Caenorhabditis elegans: one gene and its partner. The protein of the gene in region 1 interacts with the protein of each later gene in a pairwise test. Each region holds a gene or a part of one and is shown on either strand. Other genes may lie near its edges.

Region 1 (4,560 bases):
TATTAGTGACCCTTTTCCAACATTAGAATTCTTTAAAGTTCCCTGTTTTATTGAGAATTTGAAAAACTCACACTTTTTCGCAAGTTTGCATAAAATTTCAAACAGTCCTAACGGAAAAATACAGTAATTTTCAACTGGGAACTAATTTTGAACAGGTGCTAGTTTTTGAATTTCCTCTGTTAACGTAACACAATCTACCTGCACTTCAAATAAAATAAAGTGTAGTAGTATTGCAATGATTAAAGTACAATTGGACTTTTGCACTTGTGGTGTTAAAAAAATTTATCTGGCACACCGTACATAACGGCAGTCTAGAAATTTCGACACCATTTGCGTGACATTAACGTCACATGATCATTGCTCACCTGTTTGGGAAACTACCGCATGCGGAGCAATCGATCCGCCTTTTTCCAATTTGGTACCTTTCCCAGAAAGTGTCCCGCCCATTTACAGAAGCGTTTTTTCTCTGGAATGTTCATTGTTCGTTGCTAATTTAATAAATGTCTTTCAATGCCTCACTATAGGCTCATCTTATCTTTTTTTTTCTTCTTATCACCCAGTTGGCAAACATTCAACTAATATAGTTCGTAACTCCAACACCACCACCCATTACGTTTCTCAATTTAACATTTTAGTATTTTCCATGCCCAAGTTTGAGCTGTCGGCACAGTCGTTATTGAGACAAAGGGAAAGTCCCATGAACTTTTAGAAAGACTCAATGCCGCAAAGAACTTTCACTTTTTTTTTGTCTGTCTTGTATATGTAAATGTTACAAGAACCACAAAAGAAACCATAACTGACCTCCTATTCTTCCCGTGTGCAAGAATTTGATGCGAACACTGCTGATTTTATGACGCGTTGACCTACATACTCTCTCTTTCCTTGCAATACAACGCTTACATTGCAACAGTTTTATCGGTTTTTGTTGTCACTTTTGTTTTGGTGTTTTGCTTGTTTTGCTTGTTTTTTTCTAGTTGTCTTAAACGTCAACGTCAAATGGAGTTAGTTTTCCTAATTTTTCAAAATATTTTTTTGTTCTAACTAAGAGGCTAGTTTTTTCTTGAAGTTTACTATTAGTCAATATATTAACATTGATCAATTTGGTTACAAATAATTTGAGAAATCAATTTTTAATAAGTAGTTGTGACATATGATAGTAGTTTGTTTTGAATTTCAAAAAAAAACCAAAAATGAGCAATTTACATTTTTTCAGAAAACTAAAAACTGTTTTCTTACGAAGTTAAAATTTCCTATGACAGTATGTATACTAAAGTAACGTGAAAGAGCCAAGTTTTAATAGTTCAAAATCAATTCGCTAAAAAAAATTACCTTTTGAGCTCAAAATAAAAAACAGAAGTCTCGAAAAAATAAAGTTGAAAAAAATACTAAAACAACATTTTCAAACGTCACTTAAAAATTAAACAGTAAAATTTCCCCAATCACAATTATCAATCAGATCAATAAAACAAGTTTCCATTATCTTCTCTCTATCTCTTTGTTTTCGACTTGTGACTGTCACTCTCTCAGCGTGGGCGTTGACTGATTCACCAACTGACCGTTACGCATGTGACAATGACAATTCCCCAAATTGCGAAATGACATTTGTCAGACCGTCACGTCATCACTTTCATCCGATTTGTCATGTTGTGTTCGGTCGAGACAACACCCCGAATTGATTGATAAAATAATTGTATTTATATAGGCAATCTTATCACATTTTATCCCATTGCTGACCTTAGATTTCTTGACGTTTCTTCTCCACTTTTTTTTTGACAATTTCTCTTACTCTCTTCGTAGTGACTTAGTGATTCTAAATTTCAATTTTCAGAGAATGCGCTCCCTAAAACGCGAAAACTCAGGTTCCGCCTTATCCGTCAGAAGCTCAGATTCCGAAGGTGATAGTTACCATAACATGGTTAGTTGTTCTTTTTTACAAGTGTACTTAAGTATATCTAAATTTTTTCAGGACATTAAAAAATTAACTAATAAAGTTAAAGAAATTGACATTTCCGCCTTCGACCGCACAAGACTTTTCAACCCAAGAAAGCAAAGATCTTGTCACAAAAGAGCTGAACCAGTGTCAGAAGAGCACCGGAAAAAGGAGAGCAGCAAAAACTCCAGGGAGTATACCAAGAGGAATCGTGATGAAATTGTCACGTGTCAAAAGCTGTTTTCTGAAATCACAGCCATTATGCGGAGGTTCAAACAATTGACCGAGGAGATGTCAGTGGAAACAGTGGAAGTTAAGATTAAATCCATGATCAAAGACTGTCAAGAGATGCTAACAAAGTACACGAATTTGGATTCAAACGACAGATTTAATATTGGAATTCCCGAGGCTGAAGATTTTTTGGCAATTTTCCGCGAGAAAGCGCATGCAACGATGCTTTTCGAGCATCGACCAGAGTCTCCGAATATGTACACCGAAAATCTATTTAAACTACGCGAGCAATATCACAAGCTCACAGACCACAAGGACAATTTGAATTCTTCAAAGGACAAAACCAATTACGCGTCGTCAAAAAGCAGATTAAATCAGAGAATTGTGAGGGAACAGTTGAAAAGTGACTGCTGGGTATGTTGGAAGAGCATTAACACAATGATGGTCCAAGGAGAGCAACTTCAGGAGTACAACAACGAGCTGAAGAAAGATGTAAGTCTAACTTGTTAGGTGTTCGTAAACCGAGGTTTTTCCTGTGCAAAGAACACTATTGTTTACGAGTTGTTATCTTTAGAATGAGTAGAACTTTCTAAAAAATTTGTACTTTCAGATATGGAACAACATCTTAGCTGTCTACCACCAGATTTTCACCATGTTCTGTAAATATCCAGAATATGCAGACAAGGAAAAAATGGAAAGAATTGTGGAATATTTTGCTCCAGTTTCGAGAACACCAGGGCACCTATCTGTTGTCTGGAATCCAATGCCAAATGTTGTCAAGTCTCCACGGTCAGAAGAAATTCCAGAAATCAAAGTCGAATATGAAGAAGTTCCATCGTCATCTACCTTCTTATCTAACAACGAAACAACAATCGCAAGTGACATGGATATGTCGATTGATCGACCGCAAAGTATGGACATGTCGCAAACGCTTTCTCCAGAGCAAACGCTTTCTCCTAGAGAGAAGCTTCAAGTGCAAGATAGAAAGATCTCAACGACTCAAGAAACTCCTCCGGCGCTGCCATCACCATCCGGAACACTCACACTCCCAACAGTTCCAGCTTCGACATTAAAACGTAAAGAATTTGGTGACTTGTTGGCCTGTCCAACCGGCAAACGTGTAACTATTGATGAACCCAATCGAGCAGAGCGCACTGAGACAATTATGCCATCTAGACAAATGATGTACCCAATGGTGAATTACCAAGCACTTCCAATGGTAAGTTTTTTTTGAGAAAATGTTCGTCCATTTCAAAAACTTCTATATTTCAGCCACCACAATCAATTCCATCAATGATTCCCCCATTCATCCCTACGATTCCTTCGACGAGCACAATGCCTCCAATGATGCCGTATCCAAATGTTCTACTCACTGCTGCTCCGGGAGACGTTGCCCCAATCGATTCACTCACCCCATCATTTTTGAGAGCATTAGAGCAGCAAAAACTAATGGCAGCATTTTTAAATCACGCTTTTCAAAAATGTCAGAAGTAATTAAATTATTAAATGAACATTCATTGTTCTAACGCAATCTTAATAAAAACCGTATGCTTTCACAATTAGTTCAGGGTACTGTAGGACTGTCAACTGATAATTTTATAATCAATTTGTTTCTAGGGACTTACTCATTTAAATAATCGATTCATATATTGACTATCAACATTACCGGGCTCAGAAAATTTGAATTTTCTATGTTTTCTTTGTTTTCTACTTTATTGATTCTGTTCTGTTTTCACTTAACTCACATTTGAATTTCACAAATAAAAAGTTCAACAACGGAGTGTTCTTAAGGACACAGTTTATAAAAACGCGTGATTCCCCTCAACACTTTTATCTATTTCTGATGCTACAGTCGTCTTTGGTTTTTGGAGAATTGCCAGCAAGTCTAGAACATGTGGAATGGGGGAATAACTGACTTTTTGAACATGGAGTAGTGCAAAAATTAGCAGTGAAAACTTGCTTACCGTATACTATTTTAAATGAAAACGCATTGAAGAAATTTAAAATATAAATTTTATACGGTCATCGTAATTACAGATTAATGAACGGTGTTTTCTCACTTTTCACAAAAACCTGTTAGTCTTCTATAGGGAGTGGAAGTTTTTTTATTTTCCTCTCAATAGGGAATACCGTATGCTGTGAAAAGAAATATAGAATGAGTGATCCATTTTCTGAACGCTTATCAATTGGAAATTCCGAATTTTAAATAAAATGTTGCTCAATTTACTTTCGAGACAATTATTCTTGAATTAAAACTATATTTTGCGGAATAAAGTTGGCTTTGAAGTTACCTATCTTTGTGAAATTTAATTTTAGATAGGTCAAACTGTTTAATCGGACGAAATAATCACCAATGTATTTTTTACATTTTCCAGTTAGTGACGGTTCAGTAAAGCTCA
Region 2 (7,912 bases), on another chromosome or scaffold:
TATGTCGTTTAGAGAATTTTCATGTTCTGTTTTTACAATACATAGAGTTTCCGATTTTTTTTACTTTTTCTTTTTGTCTGAAATTTGTTTTTTTTTGTGTTTATTTTGAGAGTAGAAAGCCTGGTTTTGCTAAATTTTCCACCTATAATTTTTAGACAACATTTGAAACGTGCTTTAACTGAAACTGTCTATTTCTCTAATTTTCTCCGTTTCTGTCGCATCGCTACATATGTTTACCCAATTTCCGTGCTGCTTCTTTTCATTTTTCATTGTGCCTTATCGATAGAGAGAAGCAGAGAAAAAGAGCATCTCTCTCACGCAGAGGGAAAAAAGGTTTTTTATCGATAACACACACCGCCCATTACTTTTGATCTTTCCCTTTTTCAAAGTCATGTGGGTTTTTGGTTCTGCTCATAAATGATTTAATCAATACATAGCATGAGTTGAACAGTAGTTAGAAAATGACATCGCTCCTAGGAAGAAGACATTTTCAACTTATAAAATTGTTTGAAAGTTCTATTTTTAAATACAAACACTTAGAGTTGTACAGTACTACAACTGATATCGTTTTTTTTATTTGTATTGCACTACCTAGTATACATAAAACGATAGAAACAGAACAATTATTTTGTCAGTTGACAAAACGACAGAGAAACTGTCAGAATTGAATAATTCGCGAAATAAAAAATAAAGTGTGGTATTGACTGTTTTTTTTTTGAAGATGATGCTGAATTTCCTGATAAAGTTGTCAAAAATGAATGATGTTTAAGATATTTTTGAAGAAACGTTCGGAATAAATTTGTTCTCTAGAATAATTATATAGTTGCTCTCTCAATGATGTAAATCATATTTTGATGACATTTTAGCTTTAAGAAAATTCGCTAATAAATTGGTTGTAATGTTTCTCAAATAAATTTCTCTTGATTCTCCTTCCAATTCTCAATTGTTCCTTTTCTTCGTCTTTTCCAAAGGAACCCCGCCCATTGTTGTCGCCTTTTGGCATGCACAACTAGTTTTCCCTTCAATCTGAATTATTCGATTGGTCAAGCTTCTTTTCTTTTTCTTATTGAATTTAAATTTTTAACTATCAATTTGTTAAATTGAACGGAAAGCTTTGCATTGGAACATCTTATTTTTCGGGGACGTTATTCTTTCATAATCGTTATTTAATTCGTAAATGTTGAACTTTTTCTCTCCGTATGACAAAAATTGACCAAAATGTTGATTGCAGGCCTGTGAAAGATCGATCCGTCGTGCCGTGGTGTGAAGAGAAGTGACGTGAAACGGTCCGAAGGAGGGTATCGTACTGTTTCGCAAAGCTACATCATCTCCACACATAGCCGTTTCCCCGCTTCATCTACGGGTTCATACCAAACCAGAGTAGCTCATTCACTCATTTTTTTGAACAAAAAGGGTTCGTTTTCATTTTCCAACAAAATACATCCGATCCGTCAGTGGCGCCGCGCGCCGAAAAAGGAAAATATATGAGGTATTGGCCTCTCTCTCATAAAAGTCATAAAAATTGAATCGCCATGGTGTCCGCGAGAGAAGGAGAGCCGCGTGAGAGACTAGAAGAGAAATGAAGAAAAAAGGAAAAAAAGGAGCTCAAGAATACAAGTCAGCTGCCCCAAGATACTCGGCTCCGCGCAACTCCACACCATTTCCAGAGTTTCCCTCACTTTCTTACAATTTTGAATTGCAGGTGAAACAAAAAATCAGTCGATAAAAGGAAAAGTCATCATCAATTTTAAATATATAAACACACACAATGGCCTCGACATCGGCAGGACAGAACTCTGCAGCTAAACGTAAGTATTTACTGAATCCTCGTCTGAAACTACCATTGTTTTTATTCTTATTTTTTGCAATTTAAGACTATCGCTAAAATCAGCAAACATTGAGCATTTTTTGAATAAATTTCAAAAAGTTAAATAGTCCATTTTCAATTTTAGTAGGAACTAGAATTTTCATTTTCTTTGATTGGGAAAATACGGGAAAAGAACAATATTTTTTCAAATCAATTTATTTTGAAGTTTGGTTTCCGTTTCACGTTACATACCTTTAAATGTTATCGAAAAATTAGTTGTTGTTTTCCCTCTATCTCCTTTTGCCCCCTCGAAAAATGATTTTAGAAGGAAATAGAGACACAAATCGAATTTGTAGTGTTGTTGTGCATCATCACACACGCAGTCGTCGGGGGCTTCATCCTTTTTCTAGGTGTCTCTATCCGAAAAAATCTAGCGAAAGAAAAATGGATCTCATCTGGAATGCATGAAAAGAACCATTTTTTCAGCTGACACTACCAACACTACCACCACCGCCTCGAACAACAATCGTGAACGCGAACGTGATTTGAAGCAGTTCACCGAACGATTTGTCAAGAGTAAGTATTTGGCTTCTGCAGTCGGGCGGCAGTTTGAAAAAGAAAAACCAATTAAAGTGTTTCTTGCTTCAGGTTACGGAGAAAAGCGCCATGCTCTTTTTTTCTCTTTTTTTTTGCGCAGCACACCACAACCACCCCCATCCACCCTCACATTGGCACACACACATTGAAGAAGCCAGAAATTATACGCGCAGAGAATTTTTTTTTTTGCTTGTCCCGTTGTCGTCGTGAGCTGCAGAGCCGCAGAGAGTTTCTTCTCGTCTATTCTCAGCGCAAACTCTCACTGTCTGACTCACGCGGGTCCGTTGCTCTGAGGAGCTCACCAATGGCTCCGCGTCGGCTCACCAGGCACATAGAAAATATATCGAGAGATAGAGAGTTCTTATTCTCTCTGATTCTCTCTCCGTCATTCTCTTTTTCTATTCGAAAAGATTCTGACGAAGTCGCCGTCATTGGCGTCGTCGTGTGTGTGAGAGAAGACGGGAAGGAAGGGGAGTGAGTGACTGCTGTAGCTTGAAATCGAAAATTAATCCCGAAACGCTTGAGAGGGTTCCCATAGTAATTTAGGAGGGCGGCGGCGGCTCGGGCGCCATGTGGGGAAGATGAGCGTGAGAAGAGCATGGAATTTGAGAAGAATTGAAAAAAAAATAGAAGAAGGGAATAGAAAGATGAAGGAATTCGGAAGTAAAATGGAATAATGAAAACATTATATTTTTTCTAATTTCTCATTTTTCAGCCGTTCAATTTCCTGTTTCCGAACGCCTTACCGTTGATCAGGTCTACGACCGGCGGACTGGAAAACCAAGGCATGAAGTTCTTCGAGATCATTTTATTAAGGTGTGGAATAGATTTTTAAGAATATAATCAAATCAACAATTTTGCAGGAAGGAAGGATAGAAGAAGAAGCCGCGATTCGTGTGATTCAAGAATGCTCAAGCCTGTTCCGCAACGAAAAAACGATGTTGGAAATCGAGGCGCCGGTTACTGTATGCGGAGACATTCATGGTCAATTCTACGATCTCATGAAACTATTCGAAGTTGGCGGATCGCCCGCAACTACCAAGTATCTATTTTTGGGTGACTACGTGGATCGAGGATACTTCTCGATTGAATGTGTCCTGTATCTGTGGGCACTCAAAATCTGCTATCCGACCACGTTGTTCTTGCTTCGAGGAAACCATGAATGCCGTCATTTGACAGAGTACTTTACATTCAAACAAGAATGCAAGATCAAGTACTCTGAACGGGTATACGATGTGTGCATGGAGTCATTTGATGCTCTACCGTTGGCAGCTCTCATGAACCAACAATTCCTTTGTGTTCATGGTGGATTGTCCCCAGAAATCCATACTTTGGAGGATATCAGGAGGGTTAGTGAAAAACATGAGATCTAAAACTAATATTTTGAAAAATACCGTATTTCTCTATTAGTACGGTACCCGTTGTCGTTTGTTCTATCAAAAAATTCTCAATTAACAAAATATTTGTTAGTTCTTTTTCAATATATTTTCAATTAATTTCTTTGATATGTATCATGAACCGAGTGAAGTTTTTAAAGTGAAATAGTTAGGTGCAATACTGAGAGAAAATTTACGGTATATGTTTGTTTTATATGTTTTAAAGTACTGTTTAACTTTAATCCGAAATTACGACCATATCTTAAATGTCTATTTAATTTGTTGACTTTCAGATAGACAGATTCAAGGAGCCCCCAGCATTTGGTCCAATGTGTGATCTTCTCTGGTCAGACCCACTTGAAGATTTCGGAAACGAAAGGAATTCAGAACAATTTAGTCACAATTCGGTTAGAGGGTGCTCATACTTTTACAGGTATCCCATTCACTATAATCTTCATTTTAATAGAACGAAATATTATAGCTACGCTGCATGCTGTGATTTCCTGCAACACAACAATCTGCTCTCCATCATTCGCGCACATGAAGCTCAAGATGCCGGGTAAGAGCTTATCCGTCGCCAGGAGATGCGAAAAGAGAACCTTAATCCTCTTTTCTAATTCTACTCTATTTTCCAGATACCGCATGTATCGCAAATCTCAAGCCACAGGCTTCCCATCGTTGATCACCATCTTCAGTGCTCCAAATTATTTGGATGTCTACAACAACAAAGGTGAGAGGAAATATGGGAATGGCATTTTTTGACGGAGAAACAAAAAGAAAACAAAATTCGGAAAATTAAACATTAAACATTAAACAACTTAACAATTTTCAGCTGCCATCCTGAAGTACGAGAACAATGTGATGAATATTCGTCAATTCAACTGCAGTCCTCATCCATATTGGCTGCCGAACTTTATGGATGTGTTCACGTGGTCATTGCCGTTTGTGGGAGAAAAAGGTATAGCAAGAAATATGTCGAAAACCAAATGAGATTTCCTTTTAGTAACGGAGATGCTGGTTCACATTCTCAACATTTGTTCTGACGACGAGCTGATGGCTGAATGCGATGACACCTTTGAAGGTATGTTCATGATTAAGCACTGGCTCCCTCAAAGGAGGTCCTACTGCGTAAAAAACTAGGTCACTTTAATATGAATTATTTCACAACAAAAAATATTTATGTATATATAATTTTTTTAAATTAAAATAATCTTCTACCGCCAATTTTGTCTCTATACACTTTCAATGATTTTGTCTTGTGCTCGGCTCAAATTGGCAAATGAAAAGCCGCATTGAAACGTTCTCCCCAAGAGATGGAATACATGTGTTTTTTGCTCGATTAATTTATATATATATTTGTAAATGTATATCTTAACAAGAACAGAAAATTGTTCCTATTCACCTCATATCACTCTTTTCTCCTACTGTGATATAAACTAAGGAGAGGAGAAGAAGAAGAGAGACTGTTTGAAAATTAATAAGGCACTGAGAGTTTGAAAGGGAAATAGGAATATTTCCAATTTTCCTTCAAAAACCTCAAAAAATGCACAAAAATCGGTGTTGTGTGTCCGGTACGGTTCTCTCTCTCTGTCTCTCTTCTACTTCTTTTCTCTCTAGTTTCTTGCCTTTTCCTTTCCTTCTCTTTTTTCCTTTTTCTTTCCTTCTTTTCTCCCTTTTTTTGAATATTTGGTCATTGTTTGAATGTTGTGCTACTCTTTTTTTGATTGAGCTCTCTGAAAAAGAAACCATGAGAAAGAAAAGGAAAAACGAAAAAAGGTATTGGCATGAGAATTGATATTTCTGTGTGAGTGTGCGTGTGTGCTCTGACTGAGAATGACTGAAATATATAGGTGTTCTCTTTTTCAGTTTGACATGATTGATTACTTCAGTTCAAAACTGTAACTATTGTACTCATCTGAATTAGCATTTCTCAGCAGTCATACGCTCCCTATGTGTACAGTATTCAAAAGATTAGCGCCACTTTGTAGGTTTAATTTTTTGTAGGATTTCACACTTCAAATTGAAATATAGTTTTTCGAACGATGTAGAAATGCTAGTCACTAGTACACAAACCATGATGTCGATTGAGAAAAAAACGCATGTATTGTTGACCTTGAGCATAGCAGAGCACTACTTGTAGAAATTTTGAGCTCATTTGCCGGAGCCATGTTTGGCTTGGAAGACATTTTGTCAATAGAATTGAATGACAGAAGTACCATGCCATCGTAAGAATATCATCATCCCTTAATTTTTGTCTATTGTTCTAAAACCTTGAAATGTCGGTAAACTTGTTACCTTTTCCCAGTGTTGCAGGCTTGAACTTGTTCTGAAAATCCAATAAAATTTTGACAAATTTGTCAGAAACTGTGTTTTCAAGCCGTCCGTTTTTTCCTTAACCGCACGCGCCTTTAAAAAAGTTAAATGTTAAAATCTCAGTAAAGATCTAAACATTAATCTCAAAACTAGCTACAAAAAAATAATGAAAAAGTCTAATCAAAATTTTAAGGAGCAGATGGTAAGTGGATATTCCCCTACCCACCACACACTGGTGACGTATGTTTGACTATCAGATTTAGTTTTATTTTTTCTTTAATTTTTTACCAAACTTTCTTCGGAACACCCTAAACAACACCCACCTCGGGCGTTTGGCGCTTATACACCATTTCTTAGTTTGTTTTATTTTTCTCTCTGAATACGGCTTTCTATTTATTTGACTTTTATGTGGCTGCTCTGCTTATCTTTTTTGTTCCGTTTTTCTAAAAAAAAATACGTTGCTTTTTTCTAATTATAATTGTTTTAGTTGTTTCATTTGGCTGTGTGCTGCTAAACTTTTAACGCCTTGTGTTTTGCATGTTTTATGTCGGATTTCCAACCTGGTCTTCTCCTGTGTTTTGGTCTCTTTTCAAAAATTCTGAAAATTCCAATTTTAAACATTGAAAAAAAATAGAAAGTCAAAAAATCGAAGAAAATGAAAGAATTCGAGCAGTCTAAAATTCAAAATTCTCTCACTTGGTTTTGATTCCCCACCCTAAAAATTAGTTACTAATTGGAAGAAATGGGTGTCTTTATTGGGATTTTTAGGGGTACGGTATAAGAAATGAGAAAGTGGAAATTTCCCCAAACCTGTGAGAAAAGACCTTGAAGTGTATATTTTTTCTATACATAATATTTTCTCAAAAAGGTTACTTTATATTTTATTAGTATATTACGGTATATTTGAAAAATTATTATGAAATTGTAAAAGTAGAATTGATGTTTACTCGACAAGAAGATTTTTTAAACTATGAGTTTTTTGGCTATTCTTACGGAACATAATCTTGGAACGAAATAAGAAAATGTTAACAATCGAACAAGTTTAGTTTTTTGTATAAAAAATTGTAGTTAAATTAACTAGACAAATAAATTTTCTTTTCCAAGAGCATAAAACTTCTTTAAAACTATTTACAACAAAAACTACCGTAATCCCTTCAAATCCCAATGGGACCCGTTTCCTCTAACTCAACCTCTATCATTTTCGGTGACGGTTGGCACATTGCAAAATCCCAAATTTTTACCCCCTTTGCCCTCCCCATATTCACACTATTTACAAGTAGTAATTTTTCACCTATTAGCCAATATATATGTACATGGCTTTCATTTTATTTTTGACATTTTTCTAACTTCATTCGGGGATTTCTATTGATTGGTAATGTGGTTGCCAGTGAATGGTGTCACCCCTTTTGAAGTTGTTGCCATGTCATTTGTAAATGTTGACGGTTCTTTTTTAAAAATTAATTTTTCAGGTGGAGTGGGGTCTGCAAGAAAAGAGGTTATTCGACACAAGATTCGAGCAATTGGAAAGATGGCAAGAGCATTCTCAGTTCTTCGGTAAGTTGATTAATTTTTTTCAATTTTAAACCGAATTTGTATGAATTTAAATAGAAAGTTTTTTTCTATTATAGAATGAGCATTTTTTTTAGTTAACTTTTATTTATTTTTGATAACATATATCTTAATTTAATGTTTCTATAAAAAAACAACATACTTAAAGCATGATTTTGACAATTTTTGTTAATTAATCATTTTTGATTATTTTTTTTTCAAAGTTCATAACTCTTTATGTGGTTTTTCATATTTTCAGCGAGGAGAGCGA

The links.
Region 2: the proteins of cnp-3 (region 1) and tax-6 interact in a two-hybrid assay, tested with the Caenorhabditis elegans proteins (one study listed by BioGRID).

The regions. Positions count from the first base shown.
Region 1 is NC_003284.9:17,135,379-17,139,938, reverse strand, and holds cnp-3 (Calcineurin-interacting protein 3), read left to right. Parts: upstream 1-1,828; 5' UTR 1,829-1,831; coding exon 1,832-1,915; intron 1,916-1,966; coding exon 1,967-2,653; intron 2,654-2,771; coding exon 2,772-3,380; intron 3,381-3,433; coding exon 3,434-3,655; 3' UTR 3,656-3,939; downstream 3,940-4,560.
Region 2 is NC_003282.8:10,494,917-10,502,828, reverse strand, and holds the start of tax-6 (Serine/threonine-protein phosphatase 2B catalytic subunit), read left to right. Parts: upstream 1-1,768; coding exon 1,769-1,808; intron 1,809-2,293; coding exon 2,294-2,383; intron 2,384-2,631; exon of another isoform or gene 2,632-2,910; intron 2,911-3,119; coding exon 3,120-3,220; intron 3,221-3,267; coding exon 3,268-3,753; intron 3,754-4,073; coding exon 4,074-4,213; intron 4,214-4,261; coding exon 4,262-4,339; intron 4,340-4,415; coding exon 4,416-4,510; intron 4,511-4,612; coding exon 4,613-4,738; intron 4,739-4,783; coding exon 4,784-4,861; intron 4,862-6,286; coding exon 6,287-6,295; intron 6,296-7,562; coding exon 7,563-7,647; intron 7,648-7,900; coding exon of another isoform or gene 7,901-7,912. UniProt on the Caenorhabditis elegans protein: Calcium-dependent, calmodulin-stimulated protein phosphatase. Dephosphorylates arrd-17. Dephosphorylates daf-16 at 'Ser-319' which regulates daf-16 nuclear translocation. Dephosphorylates calcium permeable cation channel pkd-2 at 'Ser-534'.